Rattus norvegicus: one gene and its partners. The protein of the gene in region 2 interacts with the protein of the main gene of each other region in a pairwise test. Links are inferred from orthologs where the notes say so. Each region holds a gene or a part of one and is shown on either strand. Other genes may lie near its edges.

Evidence for each region.
Region 1: the proteins of Arrdc3 (region 2) and Tnfaip3 interact in binary tests that used the Homo sapiens proteins (3 or more experiments, as listed by UniProt). The two-hybrid records come from large-scale screens. The link is inferred for Rattus norvegicus from reciprocal best matches to the Homo sapiens genes ARRDC3 and TNFAIP3.
Region 3: the proteins of Arrdc3 (region 2) and Otub2 interact in binary tests that used the Homo sapiens proteins (3 or more experiments, as listed by UniProt). The two-hybrid records come from large-scale screens. The link is inferred for Rattus norvegicus from reciprocal best matches to the Homo sapiens genes ARRDC3 and OTUB2.
Region 4: the proteins of Arrdc3 (region 2) and Ube2e2 interact in binary tests that used the Homo sapiens proteins (3 or more experiments, as listed by UniProt). The two-hybrid records come from large-scale screens. The link is inferred for Rattus norvegicus from reciprocal best matches to the Homo sapiens genes ARRDC3 and UBE2E2.

Annotation. Positions count from the first base shown.
Region 1 is NC_086019.1:15,530,763-15,534,574, forward strand, and holds part of Tnfaip3 (TNF alpha induced protein 3), read right to left. Parts: intron 3,038-3,812; coding exon 2,857-3,037; intron 2,657-2,856; coding exon 1,776-2,656; intron 1,041-1,775; coding exon 859-1,040; intron 254-858; coding exon 1-253. UniProt on the Homo sapiens protein: Ubiquitin-editing enzyme that contains both ubiquitin ligase and deubiquitinase activities.
Region 2 is NC_086020.1:12,871,516-12,876,630, reverse strand, and holds the start of Arrdc3 (arrestin domain-containing protein 3), read right to left. Parts: upstream 3,430-5,115; 5' UTR 3,194-3,429; coding exon 2,914-3,193; exon of another isoform or gene 1,949-2,913; intron 1,738-1,948; exon of another isoform or gene 1,601-1,737; intron 713-1,600; exon of another isoform or gene 366-712; coding exon of another isoform or gene 353-365; intron 1-352. UniProt on the Homo sapiens protein: Adapter protein that plays a role in regulating cell-surface expression of adrenergic receptors and probably also other G protein-coupled receptors.
Region 3 is NC_086024.1:128,307,684-128,312,927, reverse strand, and holds the start of Otub2 (ubiquitin thioesterase OTUB2), read right to left. Parts: upstream 3,066-5,244; 5' UTR 2,869-3,065; coding exon 2,866-2,868; intron 1-2,865. UniProt on the Homo sapiens protein: Hydrolase that can remove conjugated ubiquitin from proteins in vitro and may therefore play an important regulatory role at the level of protein turnover by preventing degradation.
Region 4 is NC_086033.1:9,409,810-9,414,822, reverse strand, and holds the start of Ube2e2 (ubiquitin-conjugating enzyme E2 E2), read right to left. Parts: upstream 3,204-5,013; 5' UTR 3,094-3,203; intron 1-3,093.

The DNA of each region.
Region 1 (3,812 bases), on a different chromosome or scaffold from region 2:
CATTGCAGTAACCATTACACTTGGCATTGCCAAAGTGATCGCAAGCAGGGGCCCGGCAGCGCTGCTTAGGGGGCTCTTCAGGAGTGGGCTCACCCCGGTGGGCCAAAGAAGCTATTCGCTGGCTTAGGTGCTGGCACTCCATACAGAGTTCCTCACTGCGACAAGCCAGGATGTTCTTGCAAGAGGCCCGGGCACACTTCGGCCTTGAGGCTCCCTGTGTGGTTCGAGGCATTTCTCTACGCTGGCTTGATCTCTGAGTGGGAAGAGAGAGAGAGAGAGAGAGAGAGAGAGAGAGAGAGAGAGAGAGAGAGAGAGAGAGAGAGGTGTTACATTTCTCAGGAGACCAGAGGGACTTCAAATTAACAGGGTGGATTCTACCGAGTGTTCGATCTGCCTGAGTGGGAGAAGTGTATGTGTAACTGAGGACCGCCAATCCCAGGAGAAGCCGACCGCCTGGTTCTGTCCGAGGGAACATTTTTGTCTGTTTGTTTGTGTGTTGTTTGTGTTTTCCCGACATGCCAGTAAATGGAAGCAGCCTCGGTGTTTGGGATAAAGGACTGTTTGGAAAGTCTGCTTCTCCTTCATTTCTAACATGTCCCTCCCTGATCACCCTGGCTTTCGGGACGCTTGCAGGAGGTTTCAGTCTACAGCTGACTGCACTGGCTTTTCAGAATAAATTCTAAGTGTACTTAGGCCATGCAATATTTCCACCCCGGGAGCCAATGAAATGTGGTTGGCTTTTCCAGGCTCTCTTCCGGCAGACTTTTCAAAGAGGCCCTTTGTCATAAGGAGACAGTCTATCTGTCATGGATGAAGGACCTGGATACCAGAGGGGTCAAGCTCCACCAAATGTCTCACCAGTTGTTCTTCAGGCCTTTTGGCTTCATGAAATCTCTGGTTCTGAGCTTCAATGAAACACTTCTGACAGTACCCTTCAAACATGGTGCTTCCCAGGGTGCCACACTCCCTGCCCAGGCACGGGATGTTGTTCTGGAATCTGGGGGCCGAGGAAGCGGCTTTCCCAGAGGCGGTGACAGACTCTACAAAAGAGTAGGTGCTATTCAGTATCACATCCGGGTTACAGTGCACACACACACACACACACACACACACACACACACACACACACACACACAGATGTTAGAGAAGAAATGGATCCCAGCCTAGGTTCGCACAACTTTTAAGCAGGTGCTTAAGACCAAACTTACGTCAGCGAACATCTTTGGATCTACTGATATTAATTTAACTTTGAATACGGATCACCGATCTGTCAAAGACCAAACAGCAGACACGAGCTGTTTACCAGTCCTTAAGCCACAAATGTTTTCCTGGCATCCGTAAATACTTCCTGTTCTTTATTAGCTATCTTTAGACCATCTCACCAACATCGCTGAAGTCTAAACTCTCCATGGATGGCAGATACTCAATAGCCTTATTAAAATCAGCCCACAGTTTGGTGTGGCAGTACATGTAGAAATCCCAGCACTCAGGGGTCAGAAGCATAAAGATTGCCAGGACTCTGAGGCCACCCTGGGCTACATAATGGGTTCATCTTGGGCTAGCATGAACTACATCTCTAGGATACTTTTAATTTAGAGTACGTGGTAACTAGAGCTGCTGTAATGAGATGGTGTTTACTGCTTTCAGGTACAAAAGCAGAGCAACGACAACTGTCCCCAGGCACAAACCAACTGCTGAGGTAGGCTACTTTCTTGACACTCAGGGTCCTGTCTAGACAGTAGCTACTGCAATGGGCAATCTATGATTTCACTCACGTTTATTTTCTCTGTATTCGATGAAACATAGCGTGCAAAAGCCCTTGTTTTCCGGAGTCCCAAAATACATGCAGCCAGCTTTTCTGCACTTGCTTGTCCCAGTTCTGTCTGCTGGAGTCCGTGATGTCTGGGAAAGGTAGCCAGAGGGGACGGCATTTCCAGTTCGGTGGCAAGAGTGTGGGGTGAGACTTTGGATGAGTTGTGAGGGGTCAGACTTGGAGCGCTGGTGACAGGAGGGAGGGACACTGGAAGTGAGGCTGGAGGTGGGCTCTGCCGTAGTCCTTTTGAAACAGGTACTACAGATGCCGTTAAACGTCCGAGTGACATCCTGAAGGCAGGCTTGGCACTTACCGGGGTCTGCGGTGTGGCTGGCGCTCATCTGCCGCGCATTGTGACAACGCTCACAGAATCCGTTGTGTTGCACGTTCAGCGTGAAAGGGCACCCGGGGCTCCTGCACTTCATTGCAGTGGTCTCACTGAACAGGAAAAGGCTGGGGGCCGTGGGTGGGGCCGAATGGGGGCCTCCAGCTGTTTCCTCGGGGTTCCAGTTCGAGGAGCCAAGTCCCACCGCTGGGAGTCCTCCCTCAGGGCCCAGCTTCGAGTTCAGCTTTGGGAGTTTGCTCTGGTTCTTTTGACGCCTCTCGGAGCACTCGTGGCATAAAGGCTGAGTGTTGACGGACATGAAGAAAGGACAGTTGGGCGTCTCACATTTTATATCCATGAGTGATAGCTGGGGTGTGGAAGCCTCCAAAGGGTTCTGCGCATGCGCCCCTCTCCTGCCCTGATCGCCGTTTTCTTGCCACTTCTTGTATTCGTGCTGAACAAGCTCGAAGTAGTCGTCTACCAGATTTATTTCTTTGGGTAGATTAGCTTCATCTAACCTAGAGGACAAACAGGGAAATAAGTGAATCCAAGGAACACAAGACCGTATACCATTAGCTCCTAGACCACATTTCCGGAATGCGGTCCAGGGCCATGACTTCACAGTCAGCACCAAAATGCAGGCTTGTAACAGGACAGGTCCAGGGCACATCCTGTCACGCCCTCCCGTCAAGAAGGCACAACAAAGGAGACTGCTTACTTGGCAGCATTGATCAGGTGAGTCGTGCCGTGGTCCCAGCCTTGCACCGGGATCTCCAGCACCATCAAGTACTCCTTGAGAAGCTTTTCCTTCATCTCATGTTCAGGGTCTGTCAAAAAGTGAACCTTCAAGTCTTCAAACCTACCCCGCTCTCTGTTAACAAGTGGAACAGCTCGAATTTCTGAAGGAAGAAAAAAAAAATTAGTGAGTGAGTAAAACACGATGGTGCAGATGAGGTCGTAAAATGATCCAAATTTAAAGATACAAAAGGCATAGAAGAGTAGAAAAGCATCTTCCAGCCACACTTAAGCCCAAACCAGAAAAAAAAATGTGAGAAACACTTTGTTTCCAGGGAGGTCACAGAACGCCAAGGGACCCAAGGCTCACAGACTGCTTTTCAGCAAAGACTTCATTTGTGGTCTCGCATTCTTATTGTAGCCAAAAGGCTGAGAAGCAGTTTTTAGTTTTTGCTTAGAATACAGAGGTTCTGTACTTTTTTCTGTGCCTTTACAAATAGACACACAAATGCTCTTTGGCTGTAATTGAGCTTCTCTCCCTGTCCTTCCTGCTGCCCTGTCTTTCAACATTGTCTGCCTTCTACTTCTACTGTCTTACCCTTTAAAACGAAATCCAGATTCCATATATGAGACAAAAAAGTGTTGCTATCCTGACTCTGTATTATTTGTTTAACACGATTATCTCTTGCTCTATCTTTTTTTCCCCCTGCAAATGACAAAATCCTCTTTTTCCTCATGGCTGAATAAAACTCCGCTGTGTATATTATCAAGCCTTCTCCATCCATCCGTCTGTTGATGGTCATCTGAGCTGACTGGTTAAATTCTCATGCCTCCCTGCCCGACCTGAGTAAGAATCTTGATTTCGTCAATGTCAAACTAAGCGTGTCACTTCACTTTTCCGAGTCTCCATGGCTTCATCAATAAGATAGGACAACCCCT
Region 2 (5,115 bases):
GTTTATGCAGCAGCTAGAATCTGCTTTTTTAAGTTTAGTGACAAAGAAACATTTTGTTCAACATCCATTTGCTGGGAATTGGGTGGGGGGTGGGTTGCGAATAAGCTTTCACTTAACCCATTTCTTTTGCTCAGAATCATTTTTTGTATGTGTGTCGTGGAAATAAATTAAAAATGTGGAAAGGGTCCTTTTGGCTGTCTAGGTAATATACCGAAGTCTAGTAAGACTTTACTTGGTGTGCAATCCTTTTTAATTAGCATGGGGTGGGGGCTGGCGCTTATCATTACACTTCGCCGAAGTACTGAAAATACATAAAAATATGACTTTCATCCCTAAATCATGGTGACCTGACCATATCTGCGCATTGCTTCCAGAGCCTCCTGGGGAGCCCCTGTACAGCGTCAGCCCTGAGGACCGGCCGGGGGAGCCATGGCCCGTCAATTCGCTCCCTCCAAGGCGCCCAAACTTCGCCTCTCTCCCTTTCTTCCTCGGCTCCCTTTTGTGCCAGCTCAGCAGTCTCATTGAGGAGTGCTGCGGCCGCCGCGCCGTGGTAAACAAGTGCCTGGCTGTCAATCAAGAACTAGACTAGAGCAGGAGAGGACCGGCCTAAACCGGCGCTGAGCAGATCCCAGCCGGCCCGCCCGCGCGCGGCCGCGCTCCGCGCGCCCCGCTATACATACGGCATACGTCGCGCGGCGCTCGCGCCCGAGCAGCCTAGAATGCTGGGCCGGAGGCGGAGCCACAGCAAGCCGAGCTTCCGCTTTCCACGCCCCAGCCGGTGACCGGTTCAATCTGGCTCAGGCCACCCTGACACCTTCGCTGTTACAGCGAGGGGGAACTGGGGCGGCGGCGCGGAGGCGGAGGCCCCGGGGAACAATGGGCGAGGCCCAGTTGGTGCCGGTGATGTCTCCCCTATCTGTCCTGTGTCATGTCCCCTCGGGTCACACAGGTACCAGCCCCGGGGGTACCCTGGCGCCCGCACCTCGATCAGCCTTTGGTGGGATTTTTAACCGAGCTTGAGCCCAGGGCAATGAAACCTGCGGCGGCTGCAGTGGGCGAGGGGCCTGGGACACCCGGAGAGGGGCGCGCCGAGGGGCGGAGGCGGCTGGCCGGGAGAGACCTTTACCGGCGCACGCCGGTTCCAAGCCTCGCCCCAGCCGGCGCGAGCCGGCTCGACTTCCCCCTCGCCCCCCCCCCCCCGTGCCCAGTCCAATCAACGCCTGGCATCGCCTTAGCAACAGGCTAACAAACGCAGCTCCGCCTATCGCTGGGCGCCCGGGGCGGGCGCTCAGCTACCAGGCTAGTTTGAGCGAGCTGCCAGTTTGAAGTCATTGAAACTATTCCAGCCTTAAGAGCCCGTCCACGCGTAGCCAGGCTTGCTGGGGCACCTCGCAGGGCGCAGGTAGTTATCTTAACTGTGAGATCGTGGTGCAACGGATCAAGTGTGTGTCCACAGAACTCGTTCTTTCCCCCCTACTACAAGTCTTAACTCTTCGAGGAAAAAGCCTTTGTCTCTTCTTATGTTTTTAAAGGGTGCGACGTCAAAGCAGGTTCAAAAGCAAATTCATGGATCTGCCCTTTTTAAAAAACAAATACGAGCGCTGTCATTAGGTACTGTATGGCCCATTCGTGTGGACGCTGCGGAAGGTGAACTAGGGAACCATTTCAGCATGTAGAACACCTCGGTGTAGCTGCGTAAACCCCAAGACTTGGCTTCACCTTTATATTTAAAAGACGGTACATTAATTCTGTGTAACTTAAAGCATCCTCCATTTCTCACTTGCGTTAAGTTCAATTAACGTCTCCCTAGGATGTATATTTTAGATACTTAAAAAAAAAAGCATGCCTCTATCTGAAAAATCGCCAGTATTTGCACTAAAATACTGCATTAGAAAGAAGAAACACAAATTACATAACCAGTTTTAACATTATATTCTTCTTGGACTAGGAATTAAGTCATCGCCACCACCTGACGCGTGTAACCAATCTGCTGAGAGCAGAACAAGCGCCCCTCCTCACCATCCCCCAGAACTGGTCCGAAACAGGATTGAACCGCTTCTAACAAAGGGTGGAAACTTAGAAAAACAAGCTTGGAGTCGCCTATATTTCCACATTGTAGCCACTTAAACAACAGATCGCAAATCTTAGGACCTCTTGTCCCTTTGACAATGCCTTAATCTTCATCTTGTACCCAAAAACCAAATCCGATGTGCCATATACTTTTCAATTCCATCTGTCTGCCATGGGTTTCATTGAATCCACGTTCCAAAGTTAGACATGATGCTCCGAGAAGAAAAGTACTGACCCGGAATGGCTTCTAAACTGACTTAATAGTTTGCATAATGATAGATATTATCCTTTAAAATAAATGGTGCTTGATGTACATTTTAAAAGGAATTGGGAGAAATGGGAAAACACGTGGGGGTGTTGATGCCATATGTCAAAATAAGCCAGGGAAACCCTTTATCAAAGAACAATAATCAAGTCTTTAAAGTCGTTTGCACGTTAATATCAAAAGCAGATACATCTAGCAACCTTCTTAAAATGTCACTACAGTTCTTTATTGGTGCTCCTTCCTGTATCTAAGATTGTAAAATAAAAGGAGAAATCCAACATTGGACTGCAGTCTTTGCAAATGAATTTGAAAATATCAGTAAAACGACGGAGTCACATTTGAACACGTTATAAGGTGCGTATGGCAGATATGAAGCCGGTTACAGATGAAGTTAAGTGCAGTTTGCACTCACTTTGCAGACGCCTGCATGGATTACAGCTTAACACGCTTGGACGTCAAGGAGAAACTACATCTTCTAAGTTTGCTACCTTCATCAAACTGCCGACTAGAACTGCATTAAAGGAGATTAAAGTTCTCATGCACAGAAGTAGAATGTAGTGACTAATATAAAAACTTACCTCTTTCGTGCCCAATTAAGATGTCTTTATGGTTGAAATATTCTACTTCTTCAGTGTAATTCTGTGTATAGGCAGTATTGGAGCCGGCGTTTCTTGATTCAGTCCAGCGTACTTTCGCATGTCCTCTTGCATGAATTTTAAGAGATTTTACTCTGATTTCCCCAGTAACTTCTAAATTTACCCTTCCTGAGACAGTGTCCCCGCTAGAATACACGGGGACATTACTGTCATTAAGACAGTCAAAGCTTATTGTCAAACTCTTTACCTTTCCCAGCACCATGATTATAACAAAATCTATAAAAATATAATAAGACCAAAAAAAGTCAAGATCGCATATAAGATGTGATCTTCACTTAACACTGATCGGTGTCTTTGCCGTGCAAAAGAAAAAAAAATCTTGCAGGCAGGATCAGTGATTGTCTACAAATAGTTCATTGAGATTTCTTAAAAAGTCAGGGCAGCAGAGAAGCCGCTGCTCCACGCTCCTGCTCGTCTCAGTGGTCTCCTTACAAAGACGGGCGGCTGGAGGCTGCCAGCTCACTTTAAGAGCAGCTTTGTGAAAAACAACCCCAGTGCGCAGGCGCAGGCCGCGACTGCAGCCAGCCTCCCTGCGCGTTCCCTCCCGCGAGGCGCGCGCCTCCCTCTCGTCGCGCGCTCCCGGTACAGTAGGTGTGGAGCCGGCGTCCCTGACTTCGGTGCATGGGCCGCAGCGATTGGCCGGCGGGCACTCCGCGCGGCTGCAGCGCCGGCCCCGCACGCGCTCCGCGAGCTAGGTAGAGGGGCCCGGCGGCGCCAGGCCAGGGTGTGCGCCCGTACCGCGGACCCGCAGGACGTGCGAGCCGTGGGGGAAGGGGAGAAACCGGTTGGGCAAGCCGCTGGTGGCCCCAGTCTAAGCTAATGAATTTCAAAAGAAAATGTAATAAAAAGCAGACAAATATTGTTCATACTAGAAAGCATTGTTGACTTGGATAGAAACAACAAAAGCAAGCAGGACTTTGTAGACAGGGTGGCAATGGACTAAGCCAAGGCCTTAGGAGCCAAAGAACAATGCTCCAGGCAGCTCTTGTCTTCAGCTGCCTTCCCAGACTCCTACAGCTTCAAACTCGACCAAGTTGTCTGTGTAGTGTGTAGGCCCGACCACTTCCTCGACGGGAGAAAAAGTCCTTTTTCAAGACACCACCTACTGCTCCATTGCAGAGAATGACGCGATTACAACTTCTGTATCCTCAGGAATAAGAATAGAGCTCACACCCCTAATTACCACCTCATAAGAGACAGTTTGAACATAGTCATTTAGCTGACACTGTTTACAACAGACTGAAAAGTCTTAGCTAGAAAAGCATATACGGTGGTTTTTGGTTTTTAAGTATGATTTGTTACATAAATGAGGCTTAATTTTTAAGCCTTACTTTTACTTCAACATGCTAATTGCCGTGCTACATCTTTAAATACAGGCACATTTCTCCTTTTTTCAATGCCTTGAGTAAAAAAATGCAGTTCTAAACATCACCAGGATTTAGAGGGTAATGGCATAGACTAAGATCATTAACAGTCAACATAACCTCATAACATGGCTATATTATGAAATCCTGTTTTATGCATAGCCAAAATCGGACGAGGTTGTCTATAGTTAAACATCAGATCCTTTTTGCATGGTAAATCCGGATAGGGCGAATCACAACAAACGAACTATTTTGCTGTTTTCTTTATTTTAAAAAAATCTACATTTTTATTTAATTACATTTTATTTGACTTGACATGTGAGCTAAAAAAATCTAGAATATAACTATGTCAAGAATAATTACTGGGCAAGCCGTTTGTCTGAAGAGTTTGGCTTGTTAAGCATAAAATTACACATTTGTGTATTTTAAGGCGGGGGGGGGGGGGGGGTAACTTTCTTCTCTCGGTTGACACCTGGTGGATAATGTAAGTAAAGTGCCTAACCCTTGGGCTAAGGGTTGGTAACAAATACTACTGGTGTTTTTCTCCCCCTAGTGGAACAGCCATGACTTTGCTAGAATGTCAAATTTTGTTCAGTATAAGGTGAATAATGCATTAGACAATCATATAAAATTGAGCAGGGAGTGGAGTTAAAATTTTTAAAATTTTTATGTATGTGTGTATGTATGTATGTATGTATGTATGTATGTATGTATGTATGTATGTATGTATATCTGTGTGAAAGCATGCATGGTATGGTCT
Region 3 (5,244 bases), on a different chromosome or scaffold from region 2:
GAAGCTGGGGGTAGAACATTCCTAAGCACCTTCAGAGGGACTCTGCCCCTCCCTGCACATTCACCTGAGACCTCAGCCTCCAGACTCATCGGAAAAGCAGTCCCTGTGGATCTGGCCCACGGAAGGGTTTTGTTGCAGTAGCACCGGCAAGCATGCTGAATGAGCGAGCCTGCCTCTCCCTCCAGCTGGCCACCCACAACCCAGCATCAGACAGACAGAGCTAGCAACCATTCCATATTCGTCAAAAATGCTAACAGTTCCCTCATGTACAGACAACCCAAACTAAACAGCCCGCCCCCCATGCAAAGCCCTGATCCTGTCCCCTGTCCCAGATTCACTGCCCTGGGCTCCCCCCAGCCTCCCCCAATCTTACTCTTCCCAGGATGCCCACACTTGACCATGTCCCAAGGCAATCTCCCTGCTACCTGCAATGTACTCTTTGCCAGTCCTTCCTGAATGTTCCTATACAACCTTGAGCACCAGCTTTTTCCTACGGGTGAAGGGTACCGTGCTCCTCTGTGCAAGGCCCCTGTTGGGCTCTCAGGCCATCTCAGTAATTCAGGAGCTGTGACCCAGCCCAAGAGCATGAACTCCGGGAGAGGGCAGGTGTCGTTCTTTCTTATCACTGCCCCAAAATAGGCTGGGGATGCCAGCGTTGGTTTCTTTAATGCACGAGAGAAGAAGGCAGACAGGAACGGGTGCCCGGACTGCCTATACTCACACTCACTCATCCCCAAGAGCAAACGCACACATAGTGAGGGTGAGCCCCTCACTGTCTGCAGCCCTGACTCCCAAGGACTCCATGGCTTCTGTCTGGCACTGACATGGAAACAGAGGAAGATTCTGTCAGTCCTAAGACTGCATCTACCACCCATGCCATGTAACCTCAGCCAACATTTAAACGCATTAAACACATTACAGGTAAATGAGCCATGGGCCTCAGGACTTAACAAGGTGGCGAATACACAGTGGGTGTATAATAAACACAATGTAAACAGCATCTAGTTCTGTCCTCGTGACTCCCAGGCAGATGTCCTATTTGGTGGGTTTTAACTATTATCTCTCTCTCTTCTCTCTTTCCTCTCCTCTCTCTTTCCTCTCCTCTCTCTTTCCTCTCTTCTCCTGTTCCCCTTCCCTCTCCAAGGCACCCAAACTCCCCAGAGGGAAGTTGCTTTGGGTCCCAGCTGCTGGTCTCCTGGGTTCAGGTCAGATCCAGCTATTCAGTAAGGGACACAAGTTGGGGTCCCAGTCCCTACTGCACTGGTCTGCTATCTGCTACCCACCATTGGTGGCCAGAAGCTACACAGCCTCCTCCATCCTCCATCCTCTCTCCATTCTGCGTGGCTAAAACTGTCATTTCAACAGCCCGATTCTCTGGCAGGTAATGCAGAAATACCTGGGCCGCTTTCCAAGAGCAGCAGAGCAAGTAAACCCTTGGGTTACCAAGAACAAGCAGGAAACTAGTGCTTACAGTCCGTCCCCAGTTTTGAGTTACACACACACACACAGACACACAGACACACACACAGACACACACACACGGACACACACAGAGAGATACACACACACACACACACACACACACACACACACTGCACCCCTCCCCCACAGGGCAGGAGAATGACTTGTAAGAAGATACCCTGGCTGTCTATCCATACCAGCACAGGTTTGACTCTGGCCCTAGCCTCACAGTGTCCCGAAGTAGTGACCCAAATGTGGGAGGAGGGGCAAGCACAAAGAACCAGGCACCTGCACCACCCAATCTCTGGATTTCAAACACCCTAGTTGAAAACCACATCCACCACCACCACCACCACCCATGCCACTCCCTCCCCCCCCATCTCCCCACCCCTGCACTCCCTGCCACCCCCCACCCCAACTCCTCATAATAACCATTGGGATAGCCCAGACTTAAGTAGACTGGAGTGTAGCTTAGCAGTCAAGCCTTATCTAGCATGCATGAAAAACGGTTCAAAACCCAGCATCACCAAACAAAACAGAAAGAGCAGGCAATCCCAGAACTAAGTGACCCCAAGTTGACCAGTAGCACTAGATGGTCAGGCTCCCTGGAGCCCTTTGCTGGAAGTTGAATAACATAGGCTAACCAGCATATCCAATCCCCTGTAGGAGGCCTGACCCCATGGCAACCTGGAGGGTAGGCTGATGCAACACAGAACACTGGACCAGGGGCTTGGGTCCAAGTCCTAGCTGTTGCACCACCACAATCCCTACCAGCTTTCTTTTCTCCCTGTCTGGCCTCAGTTTCCCCACTTGCCCAAGCCCTGGGTTTGACCGGGTTTGACCAGCCCAGGTTTTCTTGGGTCTCCTCTGTTAGGAAGTTCTTCTAAATCACTTTGCCTGGACTCCTAACTCATCTTTCACAACCGGGGGCTGCCTCTTCATGTGTCCTGACTCTACAGACCTGTTGCCATTAGGAAACTGAGTTTACATCAAGGAGTATTAAGGCTTGCCCGGGTGGTCGGATCGTTCGTCCCTGGGGACAACTGGCTGGGGTATGGTCTGTCTGTGGTGGCTAAGTCTGTGATGGGTGGACTGCAAGCTGTCTACACGAGTGCTACTTAACAAAGAGTAGAGACCACAACCCTAGAGGTATCCCATTCCTTCCCAGTCAGGCATAAGCATCAGGACTTAAAGGAGGTGTCTGGGGACCACCTAGAGTGGCCACGAGGCAGCAGGGCTCAGCCTGGGCTGGATCTTCTGGCTGTGGGTCCCCGAAGGGATAGCGCGGCGGGCGCACTCCGATGTTCACCATCCCGAGGGTGGAAAGGGCTAAAGCCTCGCGCCCGACCGCGCGCACGCACACGCGCCCTGGCGGCGCCCCCTCCCCGTCCCGCCACCACTGACCATAGTGACCGGAGCCGTCGGGCCACGTCTCGCTCCAGCGAGGAGCGAGCGGGTGCCAGGGGAGGCGCTGGGCGGCTCCGCCGTTGGGTCGGGCGGCGCGGGCCTCGCGGGTGTGGGGTGAGTGCAGAATACACCCGACCGCCCCTCAGACCGGAGCGCAGACCTCCACTGTGTCCCAGCAAGACGCACGGCCCGCGATTGACGTCGGAGGCCCGCAATCAGAAGCCCGGACGCGGGACGTCACAGAAAGTGGGTGGGACTGCACTCGCCTTCGGCCTATGTTTTGGGGCCCGTTTGACAGGAGGCCGCCCTCCTTTTAAAGACACAGAGTGCTTTTAGCTAGCAAAGGAGTTAGCCCAATCCAGAAAGCAGGTCCGGTTTGCAAAGACAGAAGGACTTTTAACTAAAACTGCAAATTGAAGGCATCTGGAAGATTAGATGGCCCTCGTTAATTAATCAACGAGTTCACATACATAAGTGTATTTCTTTCAAGATCAGAAGACACGCGCTTAGGAAATACGCGCCCAGTGTCAGACATTTAAGTTACCTGCCGGCTGCTGTCTAGCAACAAATAATATTTTACTTCTTTGTAACTCATGAATCAGACAGGCATTCAGGTAATATCTGTTGAATGGATGAACGTTCGAGATGGTTGAGCGTGGCTCTGTGGCTGTAGGGGTGTGTAGAAAACACAATACTGAACCAGGTGTAGGTGAGTCACCCTGTATACAAGCTCATAATTACTGGACATCAAAGAGGAAATATTATTAAAAGGTTTGTTTGTCAGCCCTTGACCCCTGAAGGAGTTATTTTGAGTGCTGTGTGGGGCTCCTGTATATAGCACATAACTATTTTAGTAGGTTCTGGGACTTAGATGGTTCTACTTCACTTCGGTGTAAAAAACGATAATGTTGGATAGACACTGTTTGGCTCTTTTCCTGAGCTAATGACAGGTGACTCTCATAACCTCAGAAAACTGAGGCTCAGTCAGCCCCACCAAAGAAGACAATAGACACACCCCCAATATTCTGTGGTGCAAAGCCAAGATGGTTGGTACATTTGGAGTGAGGCAAGCATAGTGCATTTTTTCATTGTATGGGGTGTGTGTGTGTGTGTGTGTGTGTGTGTGTGTGTGTGTGTGTGTGTGTACCTGTGCTGCATATGCCAAAGTCAGAGGTAAACTTAGGTGTCTTCCCCTATTTCTTTCCACTTTATTATTTTTTAAGGTTTATTCTTATTAGCTGGGTGTGGTACCACAAGCCTTTAATCCCAGCATTTGAGGCAGAGACAGACTGGACTCTGAGTTTGAAGCCAGACTGATAGATCAAGTTCCAGGACACTCAGGACCGTACAGTGAAACCCTGTCTCAAATCCCTTACCTATGCTCTGTAAGGAAGCCCAACAAACTCACTGTTTCCCCAAAGTAAACTTTTGTGGAATTGTGCTTTGATTTGTCATTGAGACCTTGGGAGGAGTAGGCACATATCTGATCCCTAGGAAGGAATTTTAGCAGCATATGTGTGGGTGTGGATGTCTGAATGTGGGTATGTGTGTGAGTGCAGGTACGTGGAGGCCAGAGGATCTATAGGATGCCTTGGAGCTTGCATTATAGACAGCTGAGAAGCTGCCTGACATATGTTGGGAACAGACTTGAATTCTCAGGAAAAGCAGGAAGTGCATGCTCTTAACCCAGAACTGTCACTCCAGCCCTTCCACCTTATTTTGGGGACAGAGTCTCTACTTGAACCTGGATCTCACAGAATCCATTAGACTAGCTGGCCAGAGAGCCTTAGGGAGCCTATTGTCTCTTCATCTCTAGTGCTAAGATTATAAAAGCAAGCAACCATGCCTGTGTGTGTGTGTGTGTGTGTGTATGTATGTGTGTATATGTGTGTGCCTATATATGTGTGTATATGTATATGTGTGTGCATATGTGTGTATCTGTGTATATGTGTGTGCATATATGTGTGTATATGTGTGTGCATATATATGAGTGTGTGTATGTATATGTGTGCATATATGTGTATATATATGTGTGTATGTGTGTATATGTGTGTGCATATATGTGTATATATGTGTGTATATATGTATGTGTGTATATATGTATGTGTGTATGTGTGTGCATATATGTGTGTATGTGTGTGTATATATGTATGTGTGTATATGTGTGTATGTATGTATATGTATATGTGTGCATATATGTGTATATACTACATATATGTGTGTATATGTAGGGGTGTGTGTAAGTGTGTGTATATATGTGTATATGTATATGTGTGTGTATGTGTGTGCATATATATGTGTGTGTAAGTGTATGTGTGTGTGTGCTCTGAGGAAATGCTCGGTCCTTATGCTTGTGGGGCAAGCATCTTTCCAACT
Region 4 (5,013 bases), on a different chromosome or scaffold from region 2:
GGTTCAACCTGGAGTTGGTTCAAAACCATGGTAGCTCTTCTAAATGCAGGCCTTCAACAGACCGGAAGTTTTATACGACAAACTTATAAAACAGATACGTACAGCAAAGGCCTGGGAGAATCGGGAAGCACAGTGATGATGACGCGTCCAAAGACACTACATGTGACGTCACCACCCTCATCCTAGTCCCTTTGTTCATAACAAACAGTAAGGCTGTTTGAATAGCTGTCAAACACTCACAAGACATCCGGCCTGTGCTCCCACCTCTCCTGTAAATGGAGGGCATCATTCTCCATGGCTAAGACACCTTTTATGAGCAATAAAGTCACTTAATAGAACACTGAAATTTTATGTCAGTTATGTTTCCCGTCTAGCTCAAAAAGTCTGAGCATATTTCTTAGGGTTTCTTATTTGACTTTAACCTTCTCATTACTTGGGTTTAATATTTGTACTCTTTCTCAGCTTGCTTCTTTGAGCTAAAATATACCTAAAGTTAAAAGCCTTGTAAGTAGGTACCCTATAGCTTGCTGGATAAGCAGGTGTATAGGGAAACAGAAAGAAGCATTCTTAGGATTAGATGCTCTCAGGGGCAGGACACCGTGGGCACTCTTAAGAGATGTGAAATCAGTGAGAAACTGTTCTATGTATCTGAAACCTGAGGCAATCCATCACACGGCAGACACCAGAACTGCAGGAAAGTGGCTCCCTTACACTGCGGCCACGGCTATGACTGCTGTGTGCTGAGTCAGTCGTGAAGTGCGCACTCGTTTCGATACTCTTTATGTGCACACCTGATAATGTGTAAACTCTACAGTTACTGAATAGGCCACTCTGTGATGTAGTGGGCTACAACCTGAAACTGAAACATCCATGACTACAGCAGAAGACCAGAAGAGTAAAGGACTAAAACTACTACTGAAGGTCTGGGGGATGGGGCTCAGTTCCAGAGCGCCTGCCAAGCATGTATGTTAAGGCCTGGGTTCCATACAGAACACTTCCCCAGAATCTTCTGAAATGGCTAAACAGAAGCATCGCTTCTATAGTTTTACAGCTTAAAAAAGTCGTTTCTACTTTTCATCTAAGATACCTTATCTGACCCAAAGTTTTACCTACTAATGACAGATCCTCCTGAGGCCACTGATAAGCACTACAAAAACCATTCAGAAACAAAGGCTCTGTATCCCATTTTCAAATGTCAAAAGTTAAGAGACTCTCTGCTGGATTACAGAAAAAAAGGGGACAACGTGATCGTGTACTCTGGGACAATTAATTCATATGAGAGGAGACCCTCTATAGATAATTCAAATTAACTCTGTGTCAAATTGGTGTCTCGTCTCTCTAAAGTATAAATGAGTAGGCTCCTGCATTAAAACTTCCACATATTATCTTTACTAGCATTTTAAAATTAATTCCTAAAGAGCTAATTCCCTAATCTAGAAGGAAGCTAGGTTCCAGGGATCTCACTAAACACAAATGCATCCTCCAACGACAGTTTCAAAGAACTTAAGGCACCTCAAGTGGTATTTTTACTTCAGATTCAGAGCAAACCGTAGTCCCTAACTAAACATAAATGCATTACATTTAAGAATTGAAACACTCATTTTCTAAGCTTTGTTGACTATACGCTCTGTGATGTCATGGGGTTCTGGAAATTCCCTGCCAGCACATAGAGAGTGAAAGTAGCCTGTTTCAGAAAAACTAAAGGATCTGGCTGCAAATCCCAGCGAGGAAAGCAACAGTACTGCAGTCCACATTACTATCCAAATCACCAAATATCAAGATTTTCAAAAGCTCAGGAAAGCAAGAATTCATTTGTGCTGCTCCGACAGGAAAATGTGAACTTGTCGTTGACGTCCCGGTTTCTCTACTTGGGATTTCTGAACTTTTCCAAAACGTGAAATGTTGTATGTTATGTGCCGATCATGTAGCGCTACCCAGCTTTCCAAGTGACTGAAAAGATATTTATTCGAAAAATAAAAGTGGAGCACCTGACTGGGGGAAGTGCTGTGCCCTAGGGGAAAGAGCTCAAGGTACGGCATATGAAAACACTCCATCTTCATCGCACACAAACGAAACTGCAAAGCGCCCAGGAGCATCCTGACTGCCTGAGTAAAGACAAATATTTAGATTCCCAAGACTCGGACTTGGTTATCGCATCTCTAGAGCGTGTTTTTCAAAATGCAAGGATTTAAAACTAAGACGAGCTCTTAAAAATCTTTCTGAACAGTAAGGCAATCAGAGGCAAGTCCTAGCAAATTCTTTTGTACTTTAAAATGGAAATACTCGAGTAGACCCTCAAAATGACACAATGCAGGGTTGGACGATAAGAGTCTTGCAAACCAGCAAATGGGTCCAAGAGCTGCCACCAAGCCCAGGGTGATGATGTCTCTCTAATGCGGCCTTAATTTCCTTTAGGGAAGATGGATGGGGCATTTCTGGTTAGTCGTGGGAAAAGACGCAAGAAGCCAGGCTTTATGTTCATTAGAATTGGAAAAAGGCAAATGGATCAAAACATTAGGAGCAAAGAAGGGGGTGGGTGGGGGTGGGGGGACAGAGGGAATCCAGTTTCCAATCAGGCCAGTGGGGGCTGCAGAGAAGCCAGAGGAAAACCGGCTTCGGAGCCAAACTGTGCCAAGCACCAGGCATTACAAAAGACCAGTGTGACGCCCCCCACCCCGGGGCATCACGCACACACTCAGCCGGTATTCCCGGGCGGGCCCTCGCCCGCTTGGACACCTCGTGTAGCAATTATGCAATTAGGGAAGAGCTCGGGACAGCCGGGCACTTTGCACCGCGACATCCATCCTGGACTTTGCGGAGACTTAGTTCCTGGCTGCGGTGGGCGCGGGAGGGGAGAGGACAGGTCCTCGAAGGCGAAGGAGGGCCACACTCTGCGGGAGGGGGGAGGGGCGCGCGGGCCCCAGCGGGCACGCGCAGGGCCAGGGAGGCCTGCGGGGCCGCGGGCGCGCGCCCGAGCCGAGGCCGCGGCGGGGGCGGGGATCTCGCCGGTCTGCCCCTCGCCGCGTGGGGTCCCCGCGCGCCCTACGCCGGGGCTCCGGCCGCGGCCACGCCCGCCCGCCCGCGCCTACTCACCTCGCGGCGCCGCCCGCGCTCCAGCCGCGGCTCGGACGCCGAGTCCGGGAGTGAAGCCGCCGCCTCCGCGAGCCGCCGCTGCCGCCGCCGCCCGCCGTCCGCGCGCGCCCCCTCCCAAGCGCGCACTCGCCCTGCCTGCCCCGAGAGCCCGCGACAGCGCGAGCCCCACGTCGGCCTCGCGGTGCCGCGCCCGCGAGCCCGCGACGCGCTTTGGCCCCGCCCCCGCCGGCGCGTGCCCGCGCGCGGGGGGGACCAGTAAGGTGCGCGCGCAAAAGTAAAGTGACAGCTGAGTCCTGGGCCCGGTAAAGGCGGGTTAGGGCGAAGGGAAATGGAGGAGGGAAATCGAGGCTCGACGGCGGCGCGAAGGGAGGGACGCGAGGACCTTGACGAGCGCGCGCAGTAAAGGGACACGCATTAAAGGGACACGCGGGCTAAGGGGTGGGGGTGCGTTTCAGGAGGGTGCAGTGCGGCGGAGTTGGATGAAGGGTAGGGAGACCCCCTCCCCCCCGACCCACACACACCATGCACCCACCAGCTTGTGCTCGTGCAGGACCCACCTGCCCCGCGGTTGGGAAACTTCGCGTGGGCCCGGATGAAGCCTCGCTTTACCCCATAACTGCTGCAGGAAAGGTCCTGCTGAGCCTAGTTCTGTCCAGGAATGCTGGCTGCCACCCTGGGAGGCTGCGGAGGGCGGGGCGGGGCGGGGCGAAGGGTGCAGCACTATCAGAGTGAGTGGGAGGCTGCCACTGAAAGACCCGCGTGGGACAGTAGCTGTGCTGTGAGTGGCCTGAGGAATATCAGGTTTCCCAGTCATTGTAGCCCAAAATAGGCACTGAAGAAAAAATTGCACATTCTGGGTTAACTCAGCACCCATGAACTCACCTCATCACCACCACCACCACCACCACCACCCACACACACACACACACACACACACACACACACACACACACACACACACACGGCCCTCCAGCCTATCATAACAGCTAAGATCTAAGACTACTCTTAACTTCTGTGAGGATTCTTGGGAGCGGTTGAGCCCATGCAGTAGTTCTGCCCAACAGAAAGGGCTGGGACCTCCATTCTCACGGATGAGAGGGGAAGACCCATTACGCTCCAAGACACTTGAACAGTGATAGCCAATACATAGGAAACCATGGGGAACCCAGCCTAACAGCCTAACACCTAACAGGTGGCCATAGGCCACCATGAGAATGTGAAGCCCTGAGTCAATCAAGAACTAGTGAAAAAAGACGCCAGAGACTAGAGCAATACAAGACCCAGAACCGGCTTCTGGAACAGAAAATGCTTCCACGAGATGCATTCTTCAAGAGTTGGCTTTTAACTAATTAAGTCACTGAAAACTGCCCCAAGCAGCTAATGGTGTCTAGCCTGGAACTCACCACTGAGGAAAAATAACAGCACCTTTGTCCTTAGGAATGTCAGCTCAAGAATGTTTGGGAGGGAGGGTTGGAAATGGTGAAACCTGGTTTTCTGGTTTGTGTGGCCACGTACAGCTGTCTCATGGTGTATTAGGAGAATACTAATACATGTACTAGTACAGTGTGTTAGTAGAAATGCATCATGTTTAAATATTATCAAATACAGTATTTCACAGACAGTCTTAAGTGTCTATATAAATTATCTTCCCTCATGGAATCTTTGCACGTTCTCGGTTTGCAAATATCCTGATCGTTTCAAGAGTACAGACATAGGGAAGACTTGGTTGTGTTTTGAAACTCTTTAAAAATTGTTTTGTTTTGATGCTGGGATTGGACCCAGGGCTTCAACAGGCTAAGCAGGCACAGGAGTTCTGCCACTGAACTCTACCCTGTGCCCCTGGTAGCCTACGCTTCTGTGTGTGCTGTTGGCTTACAGTGAATGTTTCATGAGGAAGCGTGCTTCTGCCCCAGCCGCTGT